Sus scrofa: one gene and its partners. The protein of the gene in region 2 interacts with the protein of the main gene of each other region in a pairwise test. Links are inferred from orthologs where the notes say so. Each region holds a gene or a part of one and is shown on either strand. Other genes may lie near its edges. The genes, in order: NME7, NT5C2 and MOB3B.

The links.
Region 1: the proteins of NT5C2 (region 2) and NME7 interact in binary tests that used the Homo sapiens proteins (3 or more experiments, as listed by UniProt). The two-hybrid records come from large-scale screens. The link is inferred for Sus scrofa from reciprocal best matches to the Homo sapiens genes NT5C2 and NME7.
Region 3: the proteins of NT5C2 (region 2) and MOB3B interact in binary tests that used the Homo sapiens proteins (3 or more experiments, as listed by UniProt). The two-hybrid records come from large-scale screens. The link is inferred for Sus scrofa from reciprocal best matches to the Homo sapiens genes NT5C2 and MOB3B.

The regions. Positions count from the first base shown.
Region 1 is NC_010446.5:81,689,288-81,699,409, reverse strand, and holds part of NME7 (nucleoside diphosphate kinase 7), read right to left. Parts: intron 4,791-10,122; coding exon 4,683-4,790; intron 3,565-4,682; coding exon 3,398-3,564; intron 1-3,397. UniProt on the Homo sapiens protein: Possesses an intrinsic kinase activity. Displays 3'-5' exonuclease activity with a preference for single-stranded DNA. Does not seem to have nucleoside diphosphate kinase activity.
Region 2 is NC_010456.5:114,065,576-114,075,697, forward strand, and holds part of NT5C2 (cytosolic purine 5'-nucleotidase), read right to left. Parts: intron 9,709-10,122; coding exon 9,617-9,708; intron 9,476-9,616; coding exon 9,418-9,475; intron 9,315-9,417; exon of another isoform or gene 9,111-9,314; intron 8,397-9,110; coding exon 8,303-8,396; intron 7,672-8,302; coding exon 7,618-7,671; intron 4,471-7,617; coding exon 4,387-4,470; intron 3,353-4,386; coding exon 3,311-3,352; intron 2,223-3,310; coding exon 2,115-2,222; intron 1,842-2,114; coding exon 1,775-1,841; exon of another isoform or gene 1,045-1,774; coding exon 874-1,044; intron 1-873. UniProt on the Homo sapiens protein: Broad specificity cytosolic 5'-nucleotidase that catalyzes the dephosphorylation of 6-hydroxypurine nucleoside 5'-monophosphates.
Region 3 is NC_010452.4:38,434,051-38,444,272, reverse strand, and holds the start of MOB3B (MOB kinase activator 3B), read right to left. Parts: upstream 6,341-10,222; 5' UTR 5,704-6,340; intron 5,637-5,703; exon of another isoform or gene 4,077-5,636; intron 1-4,076. UniProt on the Homo sapiens protein: Modulates LATS1 expression in the Hippo signaling pathway which plays a pivotal role in organ size control and tumor suppression by restricting proliferation and promoting apoptosis.

The DNA of each region.
Region 1 (10,122 bases), on a different chromosome or scaffold from region 2:
TAGGCTTTACTCCAGAAAGAAAGGAGTTGAGAATGATATATATGATAGGAATGTAATCAGCTCATACATTTTCCTTGACACCATATAAAACTGAGAGTTAGACTTAGTTATAATTATTACATTAAAGCTATTTCTATGGGACCATGATAGACCTGCATGCATTTTCTCCATATGCCTAATTTTTGGTCACTTAAATGAAATAGTACATGTTAAAAACTCTTGAATTCTGAAGAATTCTGTTTAAATCACCCAGACGGTTGCTGGATTTGTTAACCCACATGCAGTTAAGAAAGAATCAGAAGAGAAAATGGTGAAACAATTTTAAGTCAGTAAAAATATAATACTGCACATATTTTAATTAATTATATTTACAAAGCCCACATATTTAAAAGCTGTCTTTACATTCTTCTGTTCCTCCTATTATTAAATCAGTCAATTCAATAGTATTTACCAACATATTAATTAGAATTTTAACAGAAAGATAATGAGTTTTTTTAGAGTTAAACATGATAAGACTTATTCATTTCCCTTTACTTTATAATGGTGTGAATATGGCCAAGTTACTGAACTGTTCTGTAAAGTGGAATCAACATTTATTGTAGACAAATCAGAGTTAATAAATAGAAGTTATAATTGTTATAGCTATTATTATTTTATTTTGTTTGGGTCATATTATTAACCCTGTCTCCCTAATTCATTTATTTTTGCCAGTTTAAATGAAAATTTGTAGTCTTAAACTGAGATGCATATGAAAAGTGCATACCATAAGAATGGCATATAGCATGTACTCAAACAATAAAACTATACATACTTATTACTTGTAAGTAAAGGAACTGTGGTTAGTGTTTCGTTAATCCCATAGACTTTTACCAGTATATTTCATAACGATGTGATTCCTATTTATCTAACATTCCATTTTGGTTTTCCTTTTTTAGAGTTATCCTTTGGTTTTCCTTTTTTAGGAGTCATTCAACACCATGCTGATCCATCCACACCTGTGTAGTAATACCCACAATGAACATCAAGAATTATAAAGTGCTTATAAAGAAGTCTCATAAAAAATATTACTATGGGGGAGTTCCCATAATAGCTCAGCAGTTAATGAACCCGACTAGCATCCATGAGGATGCGGGTTCAATCCCTGGCCTCTCTCAGTGGGTTAAGAATCCTCTCTCAGTGGGTGAAGGTCACAGATGCGGCTCGGATCCCACATTGCTGTGGCTCTGGCATAGGCTGGCATCTACAGCTCCAACTGGACCCCTAGCTTGGGACCCCTAAGGGTCCGATTGGACCCCTAGGGTGTGGCCCTAAAAGAAAATAAAAAATAAAAAATAAAAAAAATATTACTATGGCGGAACTCAGATATTAGGTAATCTGCTAGTTATTTCAGTAGCAAACCTCAAAAAATAGTTTGACAGGTTTTTTCCTATAGAATTAAATAGTTTTTGGAGCTTTTTACACATGCAGCCTTAACTTCCACCAGTGATCCCTATTTTTTCATTACTGCAACAATCACTCCACAAATGCAATGAATCCAAATCAGCACAATACAATTTAATATAAACCACAGAAACCAGAGCAAAGAAAGATGAGCAAAGAATTAAAACTGCATTTCAAATGTAGTTCTTATTAGACTCACAAAGCTGCAAACTCATAAATGTACATTGGAAATTAAAATGTCATTTTAATAATAATAAAAATTGACATTCAGAAGAAAAACATGAGAAGTCTTTGTTTTCTGAATAGCCTGATTTTCAGTTACATCTCCAACTTGTTCTGTCTCTCTTCTCAATCAAAACTGAGGACAAGTCAGAAGAACAAACGTAGCTTTGACAAACGATGGAGAGAGAAGACGAGAGAGACACACAGAAGGAAGGCATCATGCTGCAGTTTCTCCACTTAACAGGAAGAGCCACAAGCAACTGGGGTGGGGAAGGGAAAAGGTAGGAGGCCACTCAGCCAGAAGCTCATCCTCCAAATACAATTTTCAACAATGTAAGTTCATTCAGTCAACAAATTTTTGTGGGGCATCCCCTGCGAATAATTTACTGTTTAAGGCATCACTACAGTGATCTCTAGGGGTGTAGTTATGATTTGAAGACAGATTGTTTCTCTGTATCATAATGTTTTTATATTTTCATAATACTCATACATCCTGTCTTCAATCGATCAATCACTATTTTTCAGACATCTATTATGTCTGTGGATAAAGCTCGAAAATAGAGAACATATATTACAATCTAGACAAAAACATCTTTGCCAACTAGATCAAAAATCTACATTTGAAAACAGGGAGGAAATGAAAAAAAAGGAAAGAGTAGGTAAGTTTCAAACTGTTATACGTTGATTCATTCAGCTAACATGGTGCTTGTAATTTGTGAGGAGATGTGCCCAGTGCCGCAGGAGACATAAAAATGAACTGAGACAGAAAGAAGGCCACCATTTTGCAAGTCCTCTCCATTCTCCTATGATTAAATCTTCCCATTCTTGATTCAGGCAGACACTGGGCTTTAATTTTGCCTCTACTCTGTGACCTTCGGTAAGTTACCTAATATCTCTAAGCCTCAACTTCTCCATCTGTAAAGTGGAGCGAATAATGATATTATTAACTTTTGTCTTAGGCTGTTGTGGGACTTAAATAAATGACTTGTGCAAATCATTTTAACACAATGCCTGACATAAAAATAGCTAACAGATATTAATGCTTATCATGTCTATTATTACTCTACCCCCACTAATCTTATACTTTTCCTCCTTCCTCTTCCTACATATTGCTACCATCCTAATTCAGACTATTTTACTATGTATATTTTAAAAATACTTTAACCACCAAGTCAGCCATGCAGAACAATGGGCTCCTCCCAGTACATAACATTTCACTGTACTTTTGTTCATTCTCATTCCTCTGACCAGCATTCCTCCAACTTGATCCATCCCTGGTAAAAATTCAGTCCATCTTTCATGATCCTGTCAAATATCCTCACAAAGTCTTTCCTATTCTTCTGCAAGAAACAGCTTTACTTTACTCTGAGTTTCTACTGAGCGTATGGTACTCATGACTACTCTTCTCAAGAGGCTAGTTATCCAATACACCAAAGACTTGGATTCTCAGTTCCCAATTAAAAGAATGATGAGGGTGTATAAAAGGTGTGCATCTTTTTCCTCTAGAAAATAATCAGTGTGCAAGATTATGGGCATCGTTTTTTACTTGAGTGAAGAACAAATCATAGAATTTGCTCCACAAAATTCTGAACATGTCATAACACTGAATTGGGTCACTGAAAAGTATCTCCACTGTAGAAACAGGATAGAAACAAGAAATTAGAATTTGGTACCAAGATATACATAATGATCTCAGAATTAAAAAAGAAAAAAGATTACATAATTGATTTCTTACTTTTCTTTCTTACTGCCCAGTTGACGAGCTGTATATTGATCCCCATAGTCAATTAGCACCAGTTGTCGAGAAAAGACATTCACTTTGTTGCCTATAAACAAATCTTCCAAGTGAAGGTCTTCATATTTGGTCCGCTTTAAAAAGGTGCGATGATTCTTTACATCATGCTGGAACCAAAAACACCACAATAAAGCAAATCAATATCAATAGAAAATGTTAATCTTATTATAAACTAGAAATAGTTCTTAATTCTGCTTTATTAAACATGTTACATTCTTTTTCGTTATTGCTACAAATACAAATCATAATTTCTGTTCTAATTTATGGGAGTTCCCTGGTGGCCTAGTCAGGACTCAGCACTTTTACCTCTGTGGCCTAGGTTCAATCCCTGGTCTGGGAAAGGAGATCCCACATCAAGTACCTGCATGCCATGGCCAAAAGGAAAACAAATTTATCCATTTCCTAGTCTAATCCAGTAATAACATAAAAAGTACACATTTAATACTTTTAAAAACCTTGAATAGAACGATTTATGTATTGCCAAACCATTGCCACAAATTGGTAGCTATGAAATCTGAAGAATTCCAAATTTCTCCTTTCTTGCCCATACAAGATCCAAATTACCAAACAGATCCACCTGCAAAAGGGGTTGTCAATGAAGGGACATAAAGTGGGACTCTTTGAGTTCAATCTTCTTCTATTTGGCTTTTCGTAGAGATAACAGTAATGAACAGCACTCAACAACGGTAACATATTTATGATCATGATCATCTTTGTCTATAGCCACTTGCTGATTATTGCTTAGTCCAAAACATGAATAATCCCACTTCAGTTTTCTAACTAAAAAAATAACTTCAGAGTTCCCAATGTGGTGCAGCAGAAACGAATCCGACTAATAACCATGAGGTTGCCGGTTTGATCACTGGCTTCGCTCAGCGGGTTAAGGATCTGGCCTTGCTGTGAGCTGTGGCATAGGTCGCAGAGGCGACTCGGATCCCATGTTGCTGAGGCTGTGGTGTAGGCCGGCAGCTGTAGCTCTGATTGGACCCCTAGCCTGGAAACCTCCATATGCCATGGGTGTGGCCCTAAAAAAAAAAAAAGAAAAAGAAAAATAATAATTTCTATTAAAAATAAAGGTACAAAAGTATCTTCTTATATTGGAATTACAATATCAAAATAAAAAGGATGTATTTTTAAAAGTAACTACAAAAAAGGCAATCCTTTTCCTCTCCCTAGCCCACCTTCATCCTGTTACCCGCTTTTAAGTGAAGAAAGGTTCATTTACCATTTCAACAGATCCATCCCCTGGGTAAAATAAAAGCTCATAACGTCGAAATAGTGAAGCATTTGGATCATACCACTCTGCAATGAAAACGAATCTTTCACTGTGATTCTGCAAAGAGAAGAATTTTAACATGAACATATAAAATATAAGGACTCAAAGTCATACAAATTTAAAGAATCAGTAAATATTTGCAACAAATCTGTTACTACTTATTATATTGAATAATTCTTGTCATACTGAATAGAATTTCAACAATATTACCAGCTATCAAAACACTCAGAAATATTCCTTCTAATTTCTTTTTAAATATCCTTAGATATCTCAAAGATGACATATGAGCTGCTTAATACTTCATGGCCATCCAACCATCCTGAGTAAAATGACAGTTTTTTAGAACATCAACTCCTGATCTGACTACTGTGATAGTTCAGTCCTTCTGAAAGCAAGTTTACACATAGGCAGATGATCAATAAACTAGCATGGGAAAAAAAAATTTCTGAGAGGCTACCCCTAAATTACATGAAGTGTTAACTGACCTAACTTTAAGAATCCAGTCGTATTAGAATATTGTTGTCATTCAATTATAGTAAGTATCTTTTCTCTCCTTAGTAATTTCACATGATAGTATCTTTTACAGAAATAGAGGGAGAATGTGCTAGTCTAGATCCTCCAAGAAGCAGACAAGATGCCAAGATGGGATTAAACATGCAAGAATTTTATTCCTGTAAAAGAAATTCTGTATGGAAAGTTGCTGCAAGGGAAAATAGGGAGGGATCCAGGGGAAGCTGGCAGACCACCATACGAATCTGACCTTGAGGGAAGGAGAGAGAGAAGGAAGGCTGGGTGAAATCCTCCTGGATTGCTAGACAGTCCAAGGAAGGTTCAGTAAGACCATCGGGGAGTGCTCAAGCCAAGAGCCCTCAGATAGTTCCTTGACTCCACAGAGGAGAAGCCTGCTTTAGTAACTCTGCTCCTCTCAGTCACCGAGTGAGCCCTGGGGGAGCATGTGCTAGGTAGAAAAGCAGCAGTAGATTTCAGAGCACAGTAGCTGAGGACCTTTGGTCATTTTGCTACCTCTAGCTGAAGATATGTGAGGTACATACAATGAAAACATAAGTCAAAGATTGGCCCTCTTCCCTCGTCTAGTGAAGGATTTCCCATCCTATGTTATTAATAATATCTTAGCCCTCAAAGATCCCTCATCAAGATAAGCAAATGAAGACACAGGAAGAAAATCTAAGTGTTTTGTTGCTAATTCTGGATTTAGAATTCGATTCTCTGGTTAGGGTATATGAATGGATTCCTTTCATGTTAATAATACACTTACAAATTCTAATAGTAGTATATCTAGTTATATTTATGATATATACTCATCAGCTACAATGTAGGTAGTTTTTAAGACACTCTTTTATTTTTTTCTCATAATCATCCAAAAAGAAACATTTTTTCACTTTTTTTTATATATAATGTTTTTTGGGTTTTTTTAATTATAACTGGTTTGGGAATTTCCAAAATGACACATTTAAACAATGCTTATTAGTCAAGAGAAAATAAAAATGAGATATACTATGACAAGCCTTTCTTCATTTACTATTTTCATTGATCCTTATAAATACAGTTTTTTTATTTTTATTCTTTCAATACAGGTTTTCAAAATGTAGGTTTCACTGTGCATTTTAGTATTGTACTCCCCTTTTAATAAATTTAAATATTAGTAGTTCATTAAAATTTTACTATCTATATTAAAATTTTTTTAATGTTTCTCACATTATTCTCCATCATGTCCCATCACAAGTGACTAGATATAGTTCCCTGTGCAGGAACCCATCACTTATCCATTCTAAATATAATAGTTTGCATCTACTAACCCCAAACTCCCAGTCCATCCCACTCCCTCCCCCTTCCCCTTGGCAATCACAAGTCTGTATTCTATGTCCATGAGTTTGTTTCTCTTCTATGGAAAGATTCATTTGTGCCATATATTAGATTCCAGATATAAGTGATATGTGGTATTTGTCTTTCTGACTTACTTAGTATGAGAGTCTCTAGTTCTATCCATGTTGCTGCAGATGGCACTATTTTGCTCTTTTTTATGGAATTTGCTCAAAAATATCATTGAAATATTGCCTTCACTAAAATAAATAATATATGAGATGGATGAAATGGTGAGACATCTAAGCGAAGGTAAAAGGAGCTCCCATGGTGGCACAGTGGAAACAAATCCGACCAGGAACCATGAGGTTGCAGGTTCGATCCTTGGCCTTGCTCAGTGGGTTAAGGATCTGGCATTGCTGTGGCTCTGGTGTAGGCCAGTGACAACAGCTCCAATTAAATCCCTAGCCTGGGAACTTCCATATGCCGCGGGTGAGGTCTTAAAAAAGACAAAAGACAAAAATAATAATAATAAAAGGGCAAAGAGAGTGAAGCAAATGAAAAACCAATGAAATCTGGCACTTCCAGTTTTCCAGGCAGCTTAACCATAAAATCTGCCAATCACCCTTTAATTCTGAGGCAGACAGAAGAATTTCTCATGATTGGTTATCCAGAAAATAATATAAAGATGATAAACTGAGGAATTACTATTCTAGTTGACAATGTAGCTTATAGCAAATCAATGCTACTATCCAAGAACAACTAGAGAAGTGAGATATTTTTAAAAATCTGTTTGATGACCTTGGAGAGCATTTGAAGCAGCCAGATTTGATGATCTAGATTAAGAAAGACTAGATCTCACTGAGGTTAGCATGGCATTCGTCACGTTGCTTTTACATGAGACTCAAGCTGAATGAGAGACTGAGAAGCTCAAGAAGCTGGTAGAGGAAGGCTTCCAAAAGGCAGAGAAGCCAACAGAGCTTTTGACAAAGTCATAAGGATAAGTAGACAAAAGCTATAATTTGGTCCCACCAAAGAAGCCAGCACTTTAGGGGCAAAGATCCCAGAGAAAAGGAAACAATAGCAATATGAGCTCAAACCTGTTTTTGTTCAATGGAGCATTCAGTATTCTCACAGTGCTGGGGAGAGGGGGAGAGAAAAACAAGAATTCAAACACACCAAAGAGGAGATCCTTGGAAAACTGTTTAGCCTTTCCATTGTGACTCTTGGAGTATTATACTCCAAGAGCATGGGTAAACTAAAGGTAAACTGATCCTTACAAAATTTCAAACAAGTGTTCAATTGAGTGAATTGTATTCACTCAACAGCTTCGTCCTTGATCACACCAAAGTGATACTTCCACCACTCTAGCCCTCTGCATCTCCAGAAATGGCAACACAGCTTTTCATAACCAATGTCAAGCGTTCAAAGGTAACTAAAAAGAAGACCAAAGAAGACGACCAAGAGAAAAAAAACACAATAGAAATAAATCCAGGAATATTCTAGTTATCATCTGACAAAGGCTTCAGAATAACATGATAGATATAAAAAATATAAGCCAATTTAATAATTTCACCAGAGAGCCAGAATATTTATTTTTAATCATTCAGAAATTGAAGAATGAAAATTGACAACATAACATTCTATAACTAGCAACATTACCCTTCAAAAGATGAATATGAAATGAAGATATTTTCATACAAGCAAAAACAGAGAATTTATTGCCAGTGTACCTGCATTAAAAGAAATTCTAGGGGATTCCCACCATGGCTCAGTGGTAATGAACCTGACCAGTTCATAAGGATGAGGCTTTGATCCCTGTCCTTGCTCAGTGGCTTAAGGATCTGGGGCTGCCATGAGCTATGACGTAGGCCCAGCAGCTGTAGCTCCGATTTGACCCCTGGCCTGGGAACTTCCATATGCCATGAGTGCAGCCCCAAAAAGAAAAAAAATAAAGAAAAGAAAAGAAAAAAAGAAAAAGAAATTCTAAAGGGAGTTCTGAAGGAAAAAAGGAAAATGATACCAGATGATCAAAGGAATAGAAGAAAGTACTAAAAAAAAAAAAAAAAAAAAAAATGGAGATGTAAAATGTGGGTAAATCTAAATAAATAATGTAATACAAAATAATAATAATGTCTTGTGGGATACAAAACAAGTAGAATTTGAATGCAGGCCAGTAAGAATATAAAGGGTGCGAGGGAAAACGACAGTCTGAATTATGTGAAACCAAAGTATCTCCTATATCAGTTGCTCCACCTGTTCTCTAATTCCAATGAACATCAGTGAAGAGAATGTCTCTTAAGAAAACAGGCAAACAAACTAAAGATGTTCTGTTCAATTTTTCACCCTCTGTTCTATTAGAATGACTTTTCTTCATCTCTTACTTCTCAGACAAGAGAAAAACAATTCCCAAAGTGTTTAATAAATCAGTGCCATTCAAACTTTAAGAAATTAAAAACTATTAATTTTGACTATAACAACAATAATTTTTAAAGTATCTACTAAGTAGCAATTATTTCATTTCATTCTCACAACAATGTAGGGTGACAGAAATAGGGATGCTACTTCATAGACAAGGACAGCAAAGCTCAGAAAATTTGAACACTGGTCCAAGGTTAAACAGCAAAGAAAGAAGTAAGTCAGAACTCAAACTTTGGTCCCTCAAACTTTGCAAAGCTAATGTTTTGTCCTGTTAAACAGCAATGCCTATGTAAAATGATACAAAAGTCATTCAGTGAGCCTAAACTAATGATGAACTGAGTTATTTAACTATCTAAGTTAAATAATTCTATACAGGATCAAGTTTTATCATCTTTAATAATCATGTAGGAGAAAGGGAATGGATTATTACAAAATGGGATAAGGAAATCAGGTTGATCCCTGTGATATCAAACATATTTAACAAAATATCTCTCTGCAATTATATCCCAATTCAAGAATCTTAAGAAATCAAGAGTCAGTGAAGTGTGGTTTAAGATGCTAATTTTTCTTCTTTATGGCCGCACCCACAACATATGAAGGTTCTTGGGTCAGGGAGCAAATCTGAGCCAGAGATGCAGCCGAGGCTACAGTTGCAGCAATACTGGATCCTTAACCCACCATTCCACGCCAAGGATCAAACCCATCCCACCACAGAAACAATCTGGCATCCTTAACCAGCTGCGCCATGGCAGGAATTGCAAGATGCCAAAATTCTTTTATAAAGCTGATGTTATTTAGGAAATTACAGAAAGTATATATTGTATTGCCCATAAGTTGCTGCTTTGAAACCATTTTCACTGTGAGCTCTAGATATTCTAATATAATCATCACCTCTTTAAAAAAATAAAATAAAAACAATTACTTTTTATTGTAAAAGAAAAAAAGTAAATTGATACCAGAGGTCACGCTTTTGGGGAGAAGAAATAGAGTTGTATTAACTTTAAAATCCCATCAAAAACCAACAACCTGGGGTTCCTGTCGTGACGCCGTGGTTACCGGATCCGACTAGGAACCATGAGGCTGTGGGTTCGATCCCTGGCCTTGCTCAGTAGGTTAAGGATCTGGCGTTGCCATGAGCTGTGGTGTA
Region 2 (10,122 bases):
AAGCTGTGAGGTATCCACTGTATGTAAAATTTTATCTACTACCTTTGGGAGAACTGACAGTCAAATAATTTTCTCTGTTCTGTGGTTTAGAAGAGGAGCCTTGGTTGAGAAAGGCTGTCACTTTTATCTTTATACACACGTGGCCTTGGTTAAGTCTCAGCAGCCTTGTCACAGTAGATATTATCCTCATTTTCACATCTGAGGATCTAAGGTGCAGGGTGTCTCAGTAACTTGCCTAAGAGCATGAAGATATTAGGTGGTGGAGTCAGGGGAACCACCTGAGGCAGGCTGAGTTTCCAGAGGCAGGATCTTCCACCACACTGTGAGTGCTGCTAGCCAGGGCTGGCTGGAAAACTGGTATGTATGTCAAACATCTTTACATAGCTAGAGTTACAGCCCAGTTCAGTGCACGCAGTATAACTGAGCTCAGAGAATGCTTCTTTCTCTACTGCTCAGAAGAAGAAATTAAAAACACCAAGTAATAAACACTCAGAACCACCAATGCCCAGAATCAGCCAGGAGCTGGTAGCAGAGACTGGAACTAGCAGGCATGGGTGGACGAATAAGGGGCTATAAAGGAAAGCAGAGCTCATGGTTTAGGTGCTACTGTAACATAACTCAGAACAGAAACACCCTCTACTTAACTTTGAAGGGACAGATTCAAGAAGGCTAAGACAACCTCTCAAAATTTGGCATTTCTATGAATTATCTGGTTATATGAGGAGGAGGTGTCCAAACACAGGGGCCCATCTTTTTACTCCCTCTGACCCCCTGCATTTAAAGTACTGGTCATCAAAGCAGACTGACTGATAGCTAGCTATTCAGATATAAACTAGTTATGTCAAAGATTTATAAAGAGTAATGGTTCCTTACAACTCTTATCAGTCCACACATGCAGCTCCTGTGCAAGTTCAGGAATCACCAAGAAAGTTCTCCAGCCTTGCCGTTTCTTTGATTTTAAAATGTCCCCAAAAATGTGATCTCCAATATACAAAATGTCTTTGCCCTTGGCTCCCAACAGATCACAGATGGTATCAGAAGAACCTGAAACAATGGAATAAACAATGAGAAAACAAAATGTCTCCATCTTAAAAACCAGCATTCCAAGCACCATAACCATTAAGTACTGCACAGATTCTTTTAATTATGTGAGGAGCAGATTAGAAAAAGGGCTCACCTTCTTAAAGACAAAGACTCACCACTGTATTTTTTCATTATCCTTTTTATTGCCTCTAAGACAAGGCCTTTAGCTTCACTGCGCTGACCAGAGCTCTTGATCACCAAATCCAGGAGCAACAAAACTACATGTCTCAGCTTTAGGGAATATAATCCTCCAAAGTACCACCACCATTCTCATCACAGATCTGCCATTAAGCTGGCTTTGTTCGAATGTTTCTCACTCCAACAAAATATGCATCTGTGTCCACAGGGGCTCCTAAAAATCCCTTGAAGACACTTTGGGAATCACCCCCACATGATTCTAGACACTGAGAAAATGTTTCAAATAGGTAAAAGGAGGATGGGAAAAAAAGCAAAACAAAACCAAAAACCTGATCCTTTCAGTGAAAATCCAAGATTCATTAGCAGATACTAAGATCTTAAACCCATTCTCCCTGACTCGTATTAGCAAGTGACTGACATGTTTACCTTCAGTAGATGATATCTTTAGAATACTCAAGGGTATATGAGGTGCTGTCCCAGGAGGACACCAAAGCTTTCGCGGTGAGGTCTGAGCCAAGACTTAGACTAAATTAAAGGGTAGTATGGGACTCACCCCCTGAGTAGACGATGCCATGCTGTAAGGGGCCCGTGTAAGTACCAATTTTCAGCTTGCCAGTTTTCTGTGAAAAGAGAATATGAACTTTGTAATGCTTTATTATTCTATCACCATCTCCACCAAGATGCTACTTGGCTAGACAGCCAAATGAATGTTACTTTTGAACTTTATTCATTTGAATTATTCAGCTATCTTAAGACCAAAACTCTTAGATGAATTTCAAAGAGCGATGGCAAATAAATTAAAAATACCTGTTTCCTTAGGGAGAGTAGGAGTGGGGGAAGGAGAAATATGAAGGATAATGTGCTCACAGACAGACCATCCTCTCTCAACTTACAGTATCCACCTGACGCAGTACTGTGCCTTCTCCAAAAAAGAGTGGTTTCCGTGCGTCCACCAAGATCAGGTCAAAGTAGGACTGCCATGGTCGATGGGAGCTGCCAGGCTGATAAGGGAGAAACAGCAAAAGCCAACACATCACTCCTAACTTTAGGGCACTCGTATTTAATCTCACTCAGATGAAAGGAATGTAGAAATACTAAGTGTAACCAGAAAACCACACTTATTAAAAACATAGTGTAGCTAATTATAAGCCACATCCTTTTGGAAGCAGGCAAAGTGAAAATATAATGACTCTAACAATCTATTTTAAATCATTTCACCCTACTAATTTACTTCAAGCAATTTAACATATCAAAGAAGGTGTGTTCATACTCTAAAATGGGCTGTAAGAGGCTCACAGGGGCTAAGGAGAGACGTAAGACATATAAAGAAACATTAGGAAATAGGCAGATTAGCATCAGAACTGCAGTACACAACTAACATGGAACTATTAATAGCAAATTTCCTGGGTTATGTTCTCAGAATGATGGCTCCAGGTACACATTGGCCTTTGGCTTATACTGCAGGCTAATCACAGCACTAATGTAGAAGGTATGCCCATTAACATTATTTCCATCCTCAACTGGAACCACAGCATTAACCTTTTAAGGTCAAGCTGAAGAGCACTGCATACTGTCCTTATGAGTGATATCAACATGAGTTATTTACTGATGTATATTTATTTAAAGAGGCCTAGTGACTAAACTGCAATGTGTATTCCTTAGATCTAGGTATAATAGTGCAGGAATGATACTACCTGCTAAGCATCAAGGTTAGCTGTTCTCTTGGCATAAAACGCAGCAATAAGAGCAGAATCTAGAAGTTGTCAAGATTATACACATTTTCTCCTTCTCAGATTATCTTCCTCAACCTGAAAATTCCTTTCACTGCCACACAAATTTAAAAATTCTGTACAGAGCTTCTTGGGCATAAAGTTATTCTGATCCTACCCTATTAAATACCACAGGAATCTCTTATTTCTGTCTACCAAGTTTTCAAATTGCTAGCAACTTTATCCTAACTCCTGTGTTACTGCTAATCATATTAATGAAGATTTCTACATGGCTCCTGATCAATTCCTTACCCTCAATATTTCAGGATGATTAAACAGATTATTACTAAAGCAACAGTCTATTAAGTTACATAGAGTACCTTGGGGCCATGTGGGAAATCAAACAGGTAAGTCATAATTTTCTGGAAAGAAAAAAAATTCAACATAAGGTCCATATACTACTTCTGTAAGAGATATCTGACACCTAAAAAAATCACACACAAACTTTTTATAAAACATGTCTTTTTCAGTATAGGATTCATCACATTCTTGTTACCTCTAAAGTTTATGAGATAGTAATGTAAACCAAAAATTAATGCTCGATCTTAACAAACAAAAGCAAGCTTCTGACATTCTCAGTAGAACATTGGCTTCTTCTAGGAGATAATTTTGTACAGACTCACCTATATCCAATTTTCCTAGTAGACTGGAACATATATTTGGAGGTAAGGGGTATGTGAGATATGGGTGTAGGAAAAACTAATAACTCACATGGAAATGACACACCCTGGCCTTCCTACTGCTTGTTCCAACTTGCTTACTCTGAATTATCACATCTCTAAATCAACATTTTACATAACGAGGATTAGGGAACGCTGAGTTTCTTGCTAGTACTATGAACTTGTAACTGCCTTAGCAAAAGTATATGAGATTAAGGAGTTAAATCGACTTTTCTGTATGCTTTAATCATTGCAAAAAATTTTTATAATGATTTTTATTTTTTCCATTATAGATGGTTTACAAAATTTTTTTTAAAGTTATCAGGTATTAAATTTGATGGCTCAGAGTCAAGACATCTTTGCACCATCTATTACTGTCTGGCTCCCAAAAGCAGGGAGGGTATGAACATACATATGTGCAATAAAGGGTGTGATTTCTCAAGTTTTAGAAATGACAAAGAAGACATTTTAATCAGCATGAATGTTTTAAACACCCCCAAAATGAAAACCTTCAAGTAGCCAACTGTAATCAGGGAAAATAGTCAAAAGAAATATTTAGAAAAATTTGAGAACCACTCTGATGCATGCCGTATTTTTGCTTTTTTCATTTCTGTTTTCAGAATGAAATGGCAAAAAAATTACTCTACTTAAAAACCACCTTTCTCATTATTTTTACAGTCTTCAGTCCAAAATAATTTCTTTGTATAAATAAACAAATATGAATATTTAGCACTTACATCTGTATATTTATAGTCACTGTTCGTGGCAAGAAATACTTTCCCTACTTCCTTCATCCGGCTCAGAAGCAAAGGCAGTTTTCCCTGGAATGTAATTATGATGATAAGCAAAACATTAAAACGCACAGATCTTCCTCCACTTATGATGGGGTTATGTCCTGATAATGCACCGACCATGACAGCCTAGCCTACCTTAAATGTGCCAAGAACATACATTAGTCGACAGGTGAGCAAAATCATCTAACACAAAGTCTATTTTAAAATAAAGTGGAGTCGGAGTTCCCATTGTGGCTCAGTGGTTAACGAATCTGACTAGGAACCATGAGGTTTTGGGTTCGATCCCTGGCCTCGCTCAGTGGGTTTAGGATCCAGCGCTGCTATGAGCTGTGGTGTGGTCTGGCGGCTGCAGCTCCGATTGGACCCCTAGCCTGGGAACCTCCATATGCTGTGAGAGCGGCCCTAGAAAAGGCAAAAAGACAGAAAACAAGTAAATAAATAAATTAATTAATTAATTAATTAATAAAATAAAGTGGAGTTCCCATTGTGGTGCAGTGGTTAACGAATCTGACTAGGAACTATGAGGTTGCAGGTTCGATCCCTGGCCTTGCTCAGTGGGTTAAGGATCTGGCGTTGCTGTGAGCTGTGGTGTAGGTTGCAGATGTGGCTCGGATCCCACATTGCTGTGGCTCTGGTGTAGGCAGGCGGCTACAGCTCCTATTAGACTCCTAGACTGGGAACCTCCCTATGCCGTGGGAGAGGCCCTAGAAAAGGCAAAAAGACAAAAATAAATAAATAATAAAGTGTTGACTATCTCATATAATTTATGGAATACTGCAAGTGAAAAGAGGAATGGCTAGATAAGTTGCTGACCCCTGAGATGGCGTGGCTGACCGGAAGCTATAGCTCAGTGCTGTGGCCCAGCATCATGAGAGTACTGCAGGGCATATCAATAGCCTGGAAAAGGATCAGAATTCAGTTTACCTGGCATACAGTTTTCACTGAATGTGTATCACTTTCACACCATTTTAAAGGCAAAAACTCTTAAGTCTGGGACTATCAGTATATATTAAATTACGCTGGGACTATCAGTATATATTAAGTCCAGAAGTCAAATACTGGACTTTTGTCCAATGAAATAGGAAGAGGGAATGCCTTTTACAGGGTGGGTGGTTGGTTGGTTGGTTTTATAATTTTGCCTTTAGAAGACCATTATCATTATGCGGGAATTATGTACTATATACATAGAATATACATGGACTGAATAGATTTCTATATGAAATATAGAAATGCTTATATGCTTATTAAAAACATGTCTCTAAATTCCTCATTATATCCACCTCAGGAAAGAGTTTAAATTACCTTGTAATCTCTTAAAGTAAGTGAATTAAGTGTGTCAGCGATCAGTAGAAGCTGATTTTAAACATCAGCTAAATATCCTAGATGAAGAGTATCAGATACGGCTTCACTGTGTATACTTTCATTTTATGAAATACCTTGAGAATGACATGATGTGTATAGGATGCAACCTACAAATGCCCAGACCCACCTGCAGATGTATGAGGAAATTCTAACTCCTGATGTGACCAGAAAGAACAATAGCCTTTCCTTCTCTCACAGTAAATAAATTCCTTCACTCAAATCCTCCGGAACCTCTCCTGAACCCCTCAATGTTCCTTTTTCTTTTTCTTTTTTGCTGTGCCTGTAGCATGTGGCAGTTCACAGGCCAGAGATTGAACCTATACCACAGCAGTGACCTGAGACACTGCAGTGACAATGCCAAATCCTAACTGACTGAGGCACATGGGACCTCCCTGAAATCAAATAATCTTTACAAAGTACTTTGGGAAAATACTGCATTCTGCTACTTTTACTCGGTAAGAAAAGAAAGAAGTATCTGATCTCAGTGCTATACATATGTCTGTGTGTACTTTCTATTTTGAAATAATTTCCAACTTACAGAAAAGTTATGAAAATAATACAGAGGGTTCCCATACATTCTTCATCCAACTTCCCTTAACATTAACATTTTAATCCCAGTATAATAATCGAAGTTAAGAAATTAATACTGGCACAATGCTCTTAACTAAATTACAAATACTAAAAAATTCTATTAGGAAGTTCCCGCTGTGGCACAGCGGAAACAAATCCAACTAGTAACCATGAGGTTGTGTGTTCGATCCCTGGCCTTGCTCAGTGGGTTAAGGACCTGGCATTGCTGTGAGCTGTGGTGTAGGTTGCAGACATGGCTTGGATCCCCTGCTGGTGTGGCTGTGGCCTAGACCAGTGGCTACAGCTCCTATTTGACCCCTAGCCTGGGAACTTCCATATGCCACAGGAAAAAATAAAATAAATAAATAAAACTTGTATTAGATTTTCCACTAATGTCTTTTGAAACTTTCCTCCTTATTCCCTGTTGATAGGTTAAAGACAATTTCAATAACTGTCACACATAGGTACATTTTTGAGATGATCTAACACTGTGGTTATGATCCAGTTACATTTAGGTGTGACTCCTGACTTTACTACTTACTAACTGTATGAACTTGGACAATTTATTTAATCCTCCTAGTCCCCAGTTTCTTCAACTATAAAGCACAGGGAACAATATCAATTCAGGGTTATATGGAAGATTAAATGGGATAATGCATGTAATCACTTAGCTCAGTGAAGTGCCTACAGTAATGACTCTAGCTGCTATTATTATAATCAGAGCTAAAAGGACAAATGAAATGCTGGGTCTTGCCTATCAAAAACAGGATAAACTGGAGTTCCCATCGTGGCTCAGTGGCTGACGAATCTGACTAGGAACCATGAAGTTGAGGGTTCGATCCCTGGCCTCACTCAGTGGGTTAAGGATCCAGTGTTACCCTGAGCTGTGGTGTAGGTTGCAGATGAGGCTCGGATCCCGCGTTGCTGTGGCTCTAGTGTAGGCTGGAGGCTACAGCTCCAATTAGACCCCTAGCCTGAAACCTCCATATGCTGTAGGTGTGGTGCTTGAAAAGACAAAAAAAAAACCAAACAAACAAAACAAAACAAAACAAAACAAAAAAAACAGGAAAAACTAAGACCCACACTCTAGCTGAAAACTCTAGGTGACTATACTTAGTATGTTTTAAACTGCCAAGACAGAGAAATATCTGCCCTTGTCCACTGCATTATAAATAGGGTTGTTATTAATTTCCCTAATAGGTAAAGTTATCATGTAGCTCTATTTTTCCCTTTATTACTTACATCTTTGACTACATACTTCTCAAGATTTTCAACTGTCTTTTCCTTAAGGGAGCCCTAGAGGAAGAAAAAAAGGAAATAAGAACAAAATCAACTTTTAAGTCCATTAGAAAAATCATGTCTACTATAAGCCTAGTAATTTCAAGATGGAGAAGTAGACAAACTAAAGAAGGCCAGGATAAAGTGGCAGATGTGATCTGACGCAACTAGGCCTCAAAAAATGTGTTTAAAATATAAAACTATTTTTATTTTTAAACTAGAAATCAAAAGGTATTTCATATTCTATTCAGTATAGTTTATAATAAATGTAAACATAATATTCATTAGTTAATGTTATCAGCCAAATCAGAGGTATTCGGAAAAAACAAATGAACCATAAGCCATCATCAAAAGATATGTTTAGTATAATCCTAACACTAAAATCTCTTCTAGTAAGTTTGGGAAATGCAAAGTGAAATAAGATCTCCAGGCACCACCCCTGAGGAAAGAACAGCATTACCTCTGTAAACAGGACAGCCAAAGATAAGGACAAATGTATTCTAGAGAGTTATCCCCAGGGGGGAATCCCCAATCCCCTCTTTTTTTAACAGACAAAAAATTATGCTCTATCTGCACTTGGAAAGTTAATGTCAGATCATAAAAAACACATGCCAGACAGTAAACAGGTGAAGAAGCAGCTCCTAGGTACCTTGTAATGAACCCAGTCAACCGCATCTCTTACATCCTGGAACATACTCCGGTAAGACATGAAGAGGTCCCCATCTTTAAATCCTGTTTCACAGCTACAGAAGGATGCAAAGAACATGACAGGGAATCCAAAAGAGGGTAAATAAAGTGAATATCAAACACTGCCCAGGGGACCCAAAGGTTCCACTGCCACATGATAAAGGATGTTCGGCTAATTTGGAAAATAATTACCCCTTAATGAAAATCCATTTTGACCACCAGAGATGACTATAGGGTTCAACGGAATACAATAACTCTGAACAGATACAAAACGGTAGAAGAATATACTGAATGGAAGTGAAAAGGCCAGTTCCAAAATTATCCAGTTCTTTTATCCAACACTTTTAAGAAACAAGTTTCCATCAAAGAAACATTTTAAATGGGTAATTTAGGTTCTCTCCACCCTGACTTTTCCGTCATTGTCTCTAGGTACAAAGGTATTGCCTATTTTCTCTTTATCTAAGTGACTTAGTGCTCCACTAAATTTAGTGCCTTGAAGTAGATAAGGCCTAAAGAGGATAAGAAGTTAGCAACTCTAGTACATACGGCTGAACTTACAATTCCTCCTAGAAAGGAAATAACAACTTGTTCAAGACTTAGGCAAAATTCTACTTCAGGGAGGATAAACATTATTTATTCCTTAATCAAATTTTGCTGGGCCTGGGAATGAAACTAAATTACCATCCCTGAATGGCTCCTGGGTAGCTGCTGTGAAATGAGTCGGGGGGTTTTAGTGCAATTCTGCTTGGACAGATAATCATCACACAAACCTCCCACTCAGTTGTCACAATTAGCACCTCTGCTGGCCGTCTTCATTCCCAGGAGAAGCCAATCAGAAGTGGTCCCTTCCAAACATGGCTGCAGCACACTGGCAAGGAGGGGGCCGTGTGGGAGGTGAGAGCCTGCATGGAGCTGCTGGTGCTGTCCCATCTCTCAGGCTGGCAATGTGGCATCTCTCACTAGCACTAAATTCACTTCAGAAAAGCAGAAAAGACCTACAATGGCCAGTTCTCTAAAACCCTGTACATTAATTTAAAAAAAATCAATTGGAAAAAGAAAATTATACTATATACATACCTGGTATATCTGGGACAATTAGTAAAAAAATCTACTAGGCAGGCCAACAGGTAGGTCTCTGAAAAATGAAGAATAGATATTCATAAGCTATAAGTGAGATAATTAAAACTTGTTTCATTATCTCCCCTTGAGCAAAGACCAACAAATTGATTGTGGAAAGAAGGAAACATATCAGTATAGAAGCACAGAAGGAGTCTACCTGGTAGGTTGAATAGTGTGTTCAGAATGTAAAATCTTTCAGTGTCATCTCGTTGGATAAATTTATTTGGATACTGCTCTCTAGTTTCTGGTCTGAAAGAAAAAAAATTTAAATTAACTGACATTCAAACATAGCACAGTAGAGAGTTCCCGTCGTGGAACCATGAGGTTGTGGGTTCAATCCCTGACCTTGCTCAGTGGATTGAGGATCTGGCATTGCTGTGAGCTGTGGTATACTTCGCAGACGCAGCCCAGATCCCGAGTTGCTGTGGCTCTGGTGAAGGACGATGGCTATAGCTCCGATTAGACCCCTAGCCTGGGAACCTCCATATGCTTCGGGAGTGGCTCTAGAAAAGGCAAAAAAAAAACACACCAAAAAAACAAACAAAAAAAACCCATAGCACTATAATAACTGAAAAATATTCATCATTCAAAAATTAATTCAAATATTTTGGTGGCTACATGCAAGACAGGGTTCCAAATAATACACATGGGTCACTCTTAAAG
Region 3 (10,222 bases), on a different chromosome or scaffold from region 2:
TACAAGCTCCTACAGAGTTAAAACCCTCCTTGTTTCTGTACACACACACACACACACAAGATTGAAATTTCTGGCCCATTTGCTTCTCACCTTGGTTTGTTTGAAATGATACAAAGTGTGTAGATTGGTATTTTATTATTTTAAGAGAGTGAAGATTCATGGTGATATTGGATGGGTGAAATAGATGACCATTAAGCTCTCATTCAACCTTTGAGCTAGGATTTTAATGCAGAGAGCACTGGTTCATTCCTAGTACATATTATGAGATTTCTACATCTAAAAGCATGGAAAAGCCACAGAAAAATACAGTATTTGCCTTTCATTGTTTTTCGTTTTGTGCCTAAAGTGAAATGCATACAGTCAGACTATGGAAGAATTTCACCCTGGATTTTCTCAATAAAGAAGGCCACTTTCTGTTCATTAAGTAAACTAGTCATCTAAATAATATAAGACACTTTGGAGTTCCCTTGTGGCTCAGTAGGTTAGGGATCTGGCATTGCCACTGCAGTGGCTCCATCATTGCTGTGGTGCAGGTTTGATCACTGACCCAGCAACTTCCACATGCCATAAGTGGGACCAAAAAAAAAGAAAAAAAGTGACACTTTAATATACTTAAAAAAAATTTTTTTATGGCCCCACTCTTGGAAGTTCCTGGGCCAGGGACTGAATCTGAGCCACAGCTGAGATCTACAACCTGCAATTCGGAATACTTTTAACCCTCTGCACCAGGCCAGAGATCAAACCCTCCCCTCCACTGCAGTCAGATTCTTAACTCACTGAGCCATGGAGGTAACTCCTATACTTTATCTTTTTGTCTTTTTGTGTGTGTGCATATATCTTTTCAGGGCCGAACCCGCAGCATATGGAGGTTCCCAGGCTAGGGGTCGAATCGGAGCTGTAGCCACCAGCCTATGCCACAGCCACAGAAACACCAGATCCAAGTCACATCTGCAACCTACACCACAGCTCACAGCAACACCGGATCCTTAACCCACTGAGCAAGGCCTGGGATCAAACCCGAATCCTCATAGATACTAGTTGGGCTCATTAACATGGAGCCACAACATGAACTTCCTGCTTAAATGTTCTTATGTGGTCCTTCATTGGTATTAATTCATCTTCAAGCTGAAATAAACTTTCTCCTCCTTTGTCCTCTACCCCATTTCAGAATCATCTACCTTCAAGCAAGAATTAACAGAGAGGGAACCCTCCTGCACTGTTGGTGGGAATGTAAACTGGTACAGCCACTATGGAGAACAGTTTGGAGATACCTTAGAAATCTATACATAAAACTTCCATATGACCCCGCAATCCCACTCTTGGGCATCTATCCGGACAAAACTCTACTTAAAAGAGACACGTGCACCCGCATGTTCATTGCAGCACTATTCACAATAGCCAGGACATGGAAACAACCCAAATGTCCATCGACAGATGATTGGATTCGGAAGAGGTGGTATATATACACAATGGAATACTACTCAGCCATAAAAAAGAATGACATAATGCCATTTGCAGCAACATGGATGGAGCTAGAGAATCTCATCCTGAGTGAAATGAGCCAGAAAGACAAAGACAAATACCATATGATATCACTTATAACTGGAATCTAATATCCAGCACAAATGAACATCTCCTCAGAAAAGAAAATCATGGACTTGGAGAAGAGACTTGTGGCTGCCTGATGGGAGGGGGAGGGAGTGGGAGGGATCGGGAGCTTGGGCTTATCAGACACAACTTAGAATAGATTCACAAGGAGATCCTGCTGAATAGCATTGAGAACTTTGTCTAGATACTCATGTTGCAACAGAAGAAAGGGTGGGGGAAAAATATAATTGTAATGTATACATGTAAGGATAACCTGACCCCCTTGCTGTACAGTGGGAAAATTAAAAAAAAAATATTAAAAAATAAATAAATAAATAAAAGTACCAAATTAGAAGTGTTGAGGTAAATAAAACAGATTTATAAAAGAGGAAAAAAAAAAGAATTAACAGAGAGATTGTGGCTACCCAAATGCACGTTAGAGATGAAATGGACCCAGTTCAGCTCCTGGTTCAGCTTTTGGAAGACCTCTCCTGCTGCTGCGTTAACAGCATGCTTTCAAACTGTTTCGATTCAATATTCATCCAAGCACAGGGCTCAAATGGTATAGCCAACAGAGAAAGTCTTATGATAAAACTGAGGCAAATTCAGTCCAAAAGTTAGAAAAAAATGTTTTAAAAGAACAAGAACTAGTTGTGGATCATGGTCTACTGGTTATCAGTGGAAGGATCAGACAATAAAATGAGTTAGTATAATCCATTTAGTAGAAATAACTCATTAATAGTTCTAAATTTTAAAAAAACGTTTCAAGCTATAAAGGAGCTGGGGCAGGCAAGCTACTCAGCAGAAAGTAAACACTTGATATTTTCCACAAATTTCTCTAACAATGTCTTTACGTGGTTTCCCTAATAATTCTACTGGGACCACGTCAGCTTCTTTAGTCATTTGTGGTTGTCATCTTGCCAAAACGTTTGCAATGCAAGAAGGAAGAGAATTGGCACTTCAAAATCAATAAAGTTTGTCTGATTGTACCGGGAGGGGCAGAAGTCATAACAGGATGCTTTTATTAAGCGCACCACTAGTCAGAAAAAAGGAGAACACTCACTGAAAAATAGGGAAGAACACAGCATCATCACACAAATACGAACAGACAATATGTAAAATGTTTAATCTCATTTGTGATTAAAGAAATTCAAAAGAAGAAAATAAGATACTCCCCTCCCACCAGTGTGGCAGAGATTAAAAAAAAAAAAGAATTGATAATATAGAATAGCAGTGGGGTGTAGGGTAGAGGGGAAAAAAAATCCTCTTGTGTATTAATGAGAGAGGCTAAACGGGCACATGTTTCTTTCTTTCTTTTTTTGCTTTTTAGGGCCTCACCCGTGGCATATGGAGGTTCCCAGCTGGGGGTCGAATCGGAGCAGCTGCCAGCCACAGCTAAAGCAACTCGGGATCTGAGCTGTGTCTGAGACCTACACCACAGCTCACGGCAACGCTGGATCCCCAACCCACTGAGCAGGGTCAGGGATGGAACCCATAACTTCATGGTTCCCTAGTCAGATTCATTTCTGCTGCCCCACGATGGGAACTCCCACACACGTTTACTGTGGGACAATATGGCAATTTTAAATATCCTAAAAAAAGCGCATTAACTCTTTAGATATTAGCTATCCTATCTCCAGAAATTTATTCTAAGGAAATAACTGGATAAGGTTCTTCAGTAAAGTCTTGTTTATCATATCATATCCATTCACTTTTAATTTTCACCTCTGTATTTTCTATTTTTTCCACAGCGATGGGGAAGTTTTGTTTTTTTTTTTAATTCTAAAATAAAGAAACTGTACAAGCTTATCTTTCACTACCATTATCCTGTTTTCCTTACTGGGGCAGACTGGGCGAGACATTGTCCTTTTACCTTTTATTTGGGCCCTGCCCACAAGTTCCTGGGCCAAGGATCAAACCTGTGCCACAGTAGCAATCAGAGCCTCTGCTCTGGCACAGTGGGCTAAGGACAACACCAGATCCTTAGCCCACTGTGCCGCAGGGGAACTCCCCTTCCACTTTGTTAATGATGCCTTTGGATACTTCTTAACCACCTAGGTCCTTCTTGCTCTTCTCCTGCTGCTAAACTTCAAAGGAATCCTTCCTTGGGGATCATTTTCACAATGAAATGTTTGTAAAGTAGCTTCTGGTGCTTCAAAAATCTTGCTTTTTTTCTTCTGTTGGTCCTACTGGAAAGATTCAGAAATTACTGGAGAAAGCGCTCTATGTGACCACAATCCTGCACAGTATAGATTCCAACAGGTGTGCAGACACAATCTCCCTCACAGGCTAAGCGACTCTCTGGACACAATCTGGGAACCCTGCCTTCTCAGAATGGCTACTCTGCTTTTGCCCAAGGTTGCTTTTTTTTTTTTCTCCCCCGAGGTATACCTGGTTTATAATATTATATTAGTTTCAGGCATAAGCCCTAGTTCTTTAATTATTCACAGTTACAAAGAATAAGCACCACGTGTAAGCATCCAACTTACTAGGAAAGGCTGAGAAACCGGGCCACTTGCACTCTCAGGGGCACACTCACAGCGGAACTCGGGGGCAGTTCCAAAACACCAATTGGCAGGAACTTGGAAAGATGAACACCGCTCTAGAGGCGCTGGCGCTGTGTCCTCCGGTTGTGCATGTGCATTCTCTAAATGCTGAGAGGGGACCAGGGATTTAAACATGGAGCCCTACACAAACTCAGAATTCCAGGTTCATTCTGGAGAGAGCCACCTCACTCCCATTTCTAGGCAAAGTCTCGAGGTTTCCTAGGTTATTTCCGTTTCCATTCTGTTGAAGGCGACTCCCCTGACCTTCGGCCCTTGGAAACTCGCGGGCCTCAGAGCCTTAGAGCTGTGTGCCTACCAGACGTGTCTCAATCCTGTCCCACCGCCTGGCAGCTGCCCAGCCACACGCCTTTAGGTGGAGATTGGAATCCACTGGAACCCACCAAAGGTCTCCCCGGATTGGGGTAGAACGCAGCGGCACCCCTCCCGACCTGCGCTCTTAGAGCGCGGTGCGCTCGGGATAAGATCTGAGAAATGCGCCCCGGGCCACAAGCAGCCGAGGAGGCGGAGAAGGAACAACTTTCCCTCCGCCCTTTAACCACAAGGCCCGGGTGGGGCGGCCCCGCTGGGGTCGGGCTCCTCTCCTTCCCCAGGCGGTTCCTGGGCTCTAGCTGGGCGGGTGGCGGGCGTGGGGAGCTGGGGAGGAGAACGAGAGGGGCTTCCTTCTCTCCCTAGCCCGGCCAGATGTTTGAAAGGCAAACAATAGGGGAAACGAGGAGAAACAAAAGGCCATTCGCCACGATCTCAATCGGCTCTGTCGCGTGGTCCCTGCGGGGAAAACGTCCGGGAGGGGTCGGGAAGGTGGGTGAAGGGGGATCTTGAGGAGTTTGGGGTCTCTGGTCACTCGCCTGGCGCCGGGGGTCGGCCCTTTACCCTTCGAGAAGGGTCCAAAGGCAGGAGGAGCGATCAAAGTAAAGTTGAAGGGTTTTCGGTGCAGGGAAAAGGAGGGGCTTGGATTCCAGATGTTTGACAGTTGTTGGCCCAGGGATTCAGCAGGATTTGTACGTCCTTTACACACCCTGTGCCTCTGCGAAGCGTCCACAGTCCCCGAACTGGCCGAGTTCCCCTTCTCAGCCCCAAGCCGAGCCTCCTCCTTCAGTATCAAGACGCCCTAAACATTGCCCCCCTGCCCAGGCGCACTTTTGTAAAACTTTGTCTTCCCGCCTCCCACAGCACAGCACGCACCCTGCAGTCATCTGCGATGCGGGATGGGTTGGCGGACACACTCGAACCCCGAAGGAAGATGGACTTTATTGATAGACCTTTTAAAATCAAGGCCCAGGAGCCCAGGGTGGAGACTGGACTCTAGTTCCTACCCGGGAAGAGAGCGGGAGGAGCCGGCCAGAAGTCAGGACGCGGGTAGGGGTCTGACGCGGATTCCAGCCCCGGAAGCCCGCGGAGGGCGGGCGGGGAAACGGGGTCTGCTGCCTCCCGCCCTCCTGTTGCACCCGCCCCCAGGTGCGCCCCATACCTCCACCCTCCAGGGCGCGACCGGGCGCGAGAGGCTACCGGCTGCGCCACCTCCCCTCGCTGGGAGCGGGTTCTCACTCACCGTGGGGTTTTACCTTCAGCCCCGAGGCCCTGTCGGCTCCTCGCGCCGAGCCAGCTGCAGGCGGAGCAAGAGGAAGAGGGTGAGCTCCAGGCAGGAGTGGCGACGCTCGCGGATCTGGCTGGGGACTCTGGAGCCAAGGCGCCCGTTCTCAGTAAGCGCGCGGGCGTGCGAGCGCGGGGCTCCAGCTGCAGCCGCGGCGGCTCCAAAGCAGCCCCCACGGGCACCCGGCGCGCGGTTATCGTGCGGAGATGCGAATGGGGACCCCTGGCGGCCGCCCGCGGAATGGCAGCTCCGTCGGGAAAGGACTACAGGTCTCCTTTGGTTATCTTACCTCTGAAAAGAGGTGAGGAATGGACAGTCTGAGCTGGGCTCCCAGCCTTGCGGAAAAGACAGTGACCCTTTGACTGAGAAGAGGAAGAAGATATCAGATCAGAAAGGGTGCTCTCTGGGTCCACAATGGCCACACCCAAGGTACCTAGAGGGGGAAATCGCTTACCTTCTTCAAGATTTTCTAACTTGATGAAAAATGCTAGAGGAGAGCCTTAATCATCGGAAAATACCTTCAGATTCTAGCGAATTTTCTAGAACAATCTGGGATTAATGGAATGAGCGTGGACTTTGAAGCCCAGCCCACAGCCTTCTACTTTCTATTTGAGTGATCTTGGGTCTATGACCTCTAAACCTTAGTATGCTCTGTAAATTGGGGAGAGCAGTATCTACGTTGCAGGGGCTGTAAAGTGTCAACTAAACATAGGAAATTTTATTTATTTATTTATTTATTTATTTATTTACAGGGCCACACTTGCCTATATGGAGGTTCCCAGGCTAGGGGTTGAATCAGAGCCACAGCCACAGCAACACGGATCTGAGCTGCATCTGCAACCTATCTACACTTCAGCGTGCAACAGTGTCGGATCCTTAACCCACTAAGCAAGGCCAGGAATCAAACCCACATCCTCATGGCCACTAGTCAGCTTCTTAACCTGCTGAGCCACAGTGGGAACTCCCATAGAAAGTATTTTTAATGCATAGTAAGAGTCATTAAATATAAGCTTCCTGAGGAAAAGAACGTCTTGCACACCTTTTTAGTTCCCATATGATAGTGTCTTAATGCATTTTGATTGAGAAATACCATATTATGAAAGTTTAAAAGTACTGTATGTAGTACTATAGCACTATATATAAAAGTACTATATTTTACAATTTTTTTTTTTTTTTTTGTCTTTTCTAGGGCCTCTCCTGTGGTATATGGAGGTTACCAGGCTAGTGGTTGAATCGGAGCTGTAGCCGCCGGCTTACATCACAGCCGCAGCAATGCTGGATCCGAGCTGCATCTGTGACCTATACCACAGCTCACAGCAACGCCAGATCCCTAACCCACTGAGCGAGGCCAGGGATCGAACTCTCAACCTCATGGTTCCTAGTCGGATTCGTTAACCACTGAGCCATGATGGGAACTCCTATATTTTACAATGATATTTTACAATGGATAAGCAATGAGATCCTGCTGTACAGCACAGGGAACTACATCTAATCAGTTGTGATGGAACATGATGGAAAAAGAAGGTGTATGTATGTATAGCGGGGTCACTTTGCTGTACAGCAGAAATTGACAGAACATTGTAAATCAACTATAGTAAAAATTGTTTTAAAAATTTAGCTGATTACAAATGTTGATTCTATCTGCAACCTGGTTCCCGTTTGTACCATAACATAGTCACATGTTAGGGAGATGGGGATATGGCCATCTGTGGGAACAATTGTTCTGTCCACACACTGCCTTACTCTTTCCATCAGATATAAGCTCCCTGAGACAAGGATGGTTTTTGTTTGAGTTGATTGCTCTATCCCTAGACTAGCTCAATCAATCTATAGAAAATATATAGACATGTGCTATGACCACCCCATCCATATGTGGAAGCCCTAACCCTCAATGTGATAGTATCTGAAGGTGTAGCCTTTGGGAGGTAATTAGTGTTAGGTGAGCTGATGAGGGTGGGGCCCTCATTATGAGATTAGTGGCTTTATATGAAGAAAAAAGAAAAAAACAGGTTGCTATCTCTCTGCCACTTAAGGACAATGGTGAGTAGAGGACCATCTGCAAGACAAGAAGAGATACCTCACCAGGACTCCAATTAGCTGGTACTGTCATCTTTTTTTCTTTTTTAATGGCCATATCTCAGCACACTGTGGGTCCCCGGAGCCAGGAATTGAATCCAAGTCACAGCTACAGCCTAGGCTGCAGCTGCAGCAATGCGGAATCTGGGATCTTTTAACCCACTGTGCTGGTCTGGGGATCTCTCTCTCTTTTTTTTTTTGGTCTTTTTAGGGCTGCACCCTTGGCATATGGAGGTTCCCAGGCTAGGGGTCCCATAGGAGGTGTAGCCGCTTGCCTATGCCACAGCCATAGCAATGAGAGATCTGAGCCGCATCTATGACCTACGCCATAGCTCAGGGCAACGCTGGATCCTTAACCCACTGAGCAAGGCCAGGGATTGAACCAGCATCCTTGTGGACTAATCGGGTTCATTAACTGAGCCACAACAGAAACTCCTGGGCCAGGGATCTAACCAGAACCTCTGCAGCGACCCTAGCCACTGCAATCTGATGCTTAACTCACTGTGCCACAGTAGAAACTCCAGTGGCACTGTAATCTTTGACTTCTCAGTCTCCAGAACTGTGAAAAGTAAATGTCCATGTTTAAGCCACTCAGGAGTATGGCATTTTGTTATAATAGCCTAAATGGACTAATACAGCATTCAATAAATATATCTTGAAATAATTAATGAAAAGCCTTCACCATGGACATTGGAGATACTTAATATATATTAAGCAGCTATAGTATGCCAGGTACTTGCTAGGCATTTTGGAATATCTCGTTTAATTCTCACAAGATCCCTCTGTGGTACATATAGGTACAGAAACTGTAGACTAGAAAGTTGAAGAAACTTGCCCAAGGTCAGGCAGGTAAGTACATCGGGTAGGCAAGCTTTATTTGTTTATTTTTTTTCTTTTTCATTTTACAGCTCCACCTGCTGTATATGGAAGTTCCTGGGCTAGGGGTCGAATCAGAGCTGTAGCTGCAGGCCTATACCACAGCCACAGCAACACCAGATCTGAACTGCATCTGTAACCTGGACCATAGCTTATGGCAATGCCAGATCCTTAACCCACTGAGCAAGACCAAGGATCGAACCTGCCTCCTTATGGACACTCGGCTGGGTTCTTAACCCACTGAGCTACAATGGGAACTCCTCAGATAGGCAGGTTTTAGAGTGGGCAGTGTGACTGAAGCCCATGGCTGTGACCCTCACATTGCACTGCCACTATCACATGGGCAGTTCTAGATCTTGCCCTGAAGATGCTTATGATCTAGTAAAAATGACCCAAGAAACACAAATAGCAATAACAACAAAAAGACTGTGGGGGATAGTGAATGGGAGGTGAACATGTCTTGTGGAGCATAGAGACAGGCTAGATGAATTCTAGATGGAGCCGATTGTAGAGAGCTTCAGGGAGGATGTGGCATTTGAGCTGGGCTTAAGACGGTAGACGTTGTTGGAATCAGATAATAAAGTTGTTTCAGGGAGTTCCCGTTGTGGCTCAGTGGTTAACGAATCCGACTAGGAACCATGAGGTTGTGGGTTCAGTCCCTGCCCTTGCTCAGTGGGTTAAGGATCTGGCGTTGCCCTGAGCTGTGGTGTAGGTTGCAGACACGGCTCAGATCCCGCGTTGCTGTGGCTCTGGCCTAGGCCGGTGGCTAGGCTCCGATTTAATCCCTAGCCTGGGAACCTCCATATGCCGTGGGAGCAGCCCAAGAAATGACAAAAAGACCCCCCCCAAAAAAAAAGTTGTTTCAGATAGAGGGAACCACAGGAGTAAAGGTGCTGGAAGGGAGAAAAATGCCAGATGTGCTCTGGGAACCAAGATTTTAAACTAGTTGGTATGGGAGCTAGGCATGCAGTTAGATGATAAGGGCCGGGATCCCCAAAGCTAGGCTAGAGATCAAAAGAATTTAATGATTTTTGTTTACAGTTATTAATGGAGAAAAATTACCTAAAGGAGCTTCCAAAGTAGTGTCTGAAGCTGTAACTCAACAGGCAACAAATAGAAAAATGAACTTCTTGTTGAGTAAAACCTTTTCAGAGACGGCTACCTCTGTCTGCCACCTTATAAAATGGCAATCACAGACCTATAATTCTGGGTCCAGAGCACAGCCTCAAATATCTGAGACTGAAAAGTTTCTAAAAGAGGAAAAAAATGGATAATGGGAGGAGTTCCCTGGTGGTCTAATGGATAGGATGCAGGGTTTTCACCACTGTTCCTTGATCTGGGAACTGAGATCCCACATCAAGCTGCTGCAAGCCATGGCAAAAACAACAATAACAAAAATTTAGAATGAGAGCAACTAGCCATTCCTGACCTTTGGACAAGTATAGTTTTCACCATTTCCATTTCACAGATTAAGTAGCTAAGCCTGGATTAAGTGACTCACCCAAGATTACACAACTAGTAAATT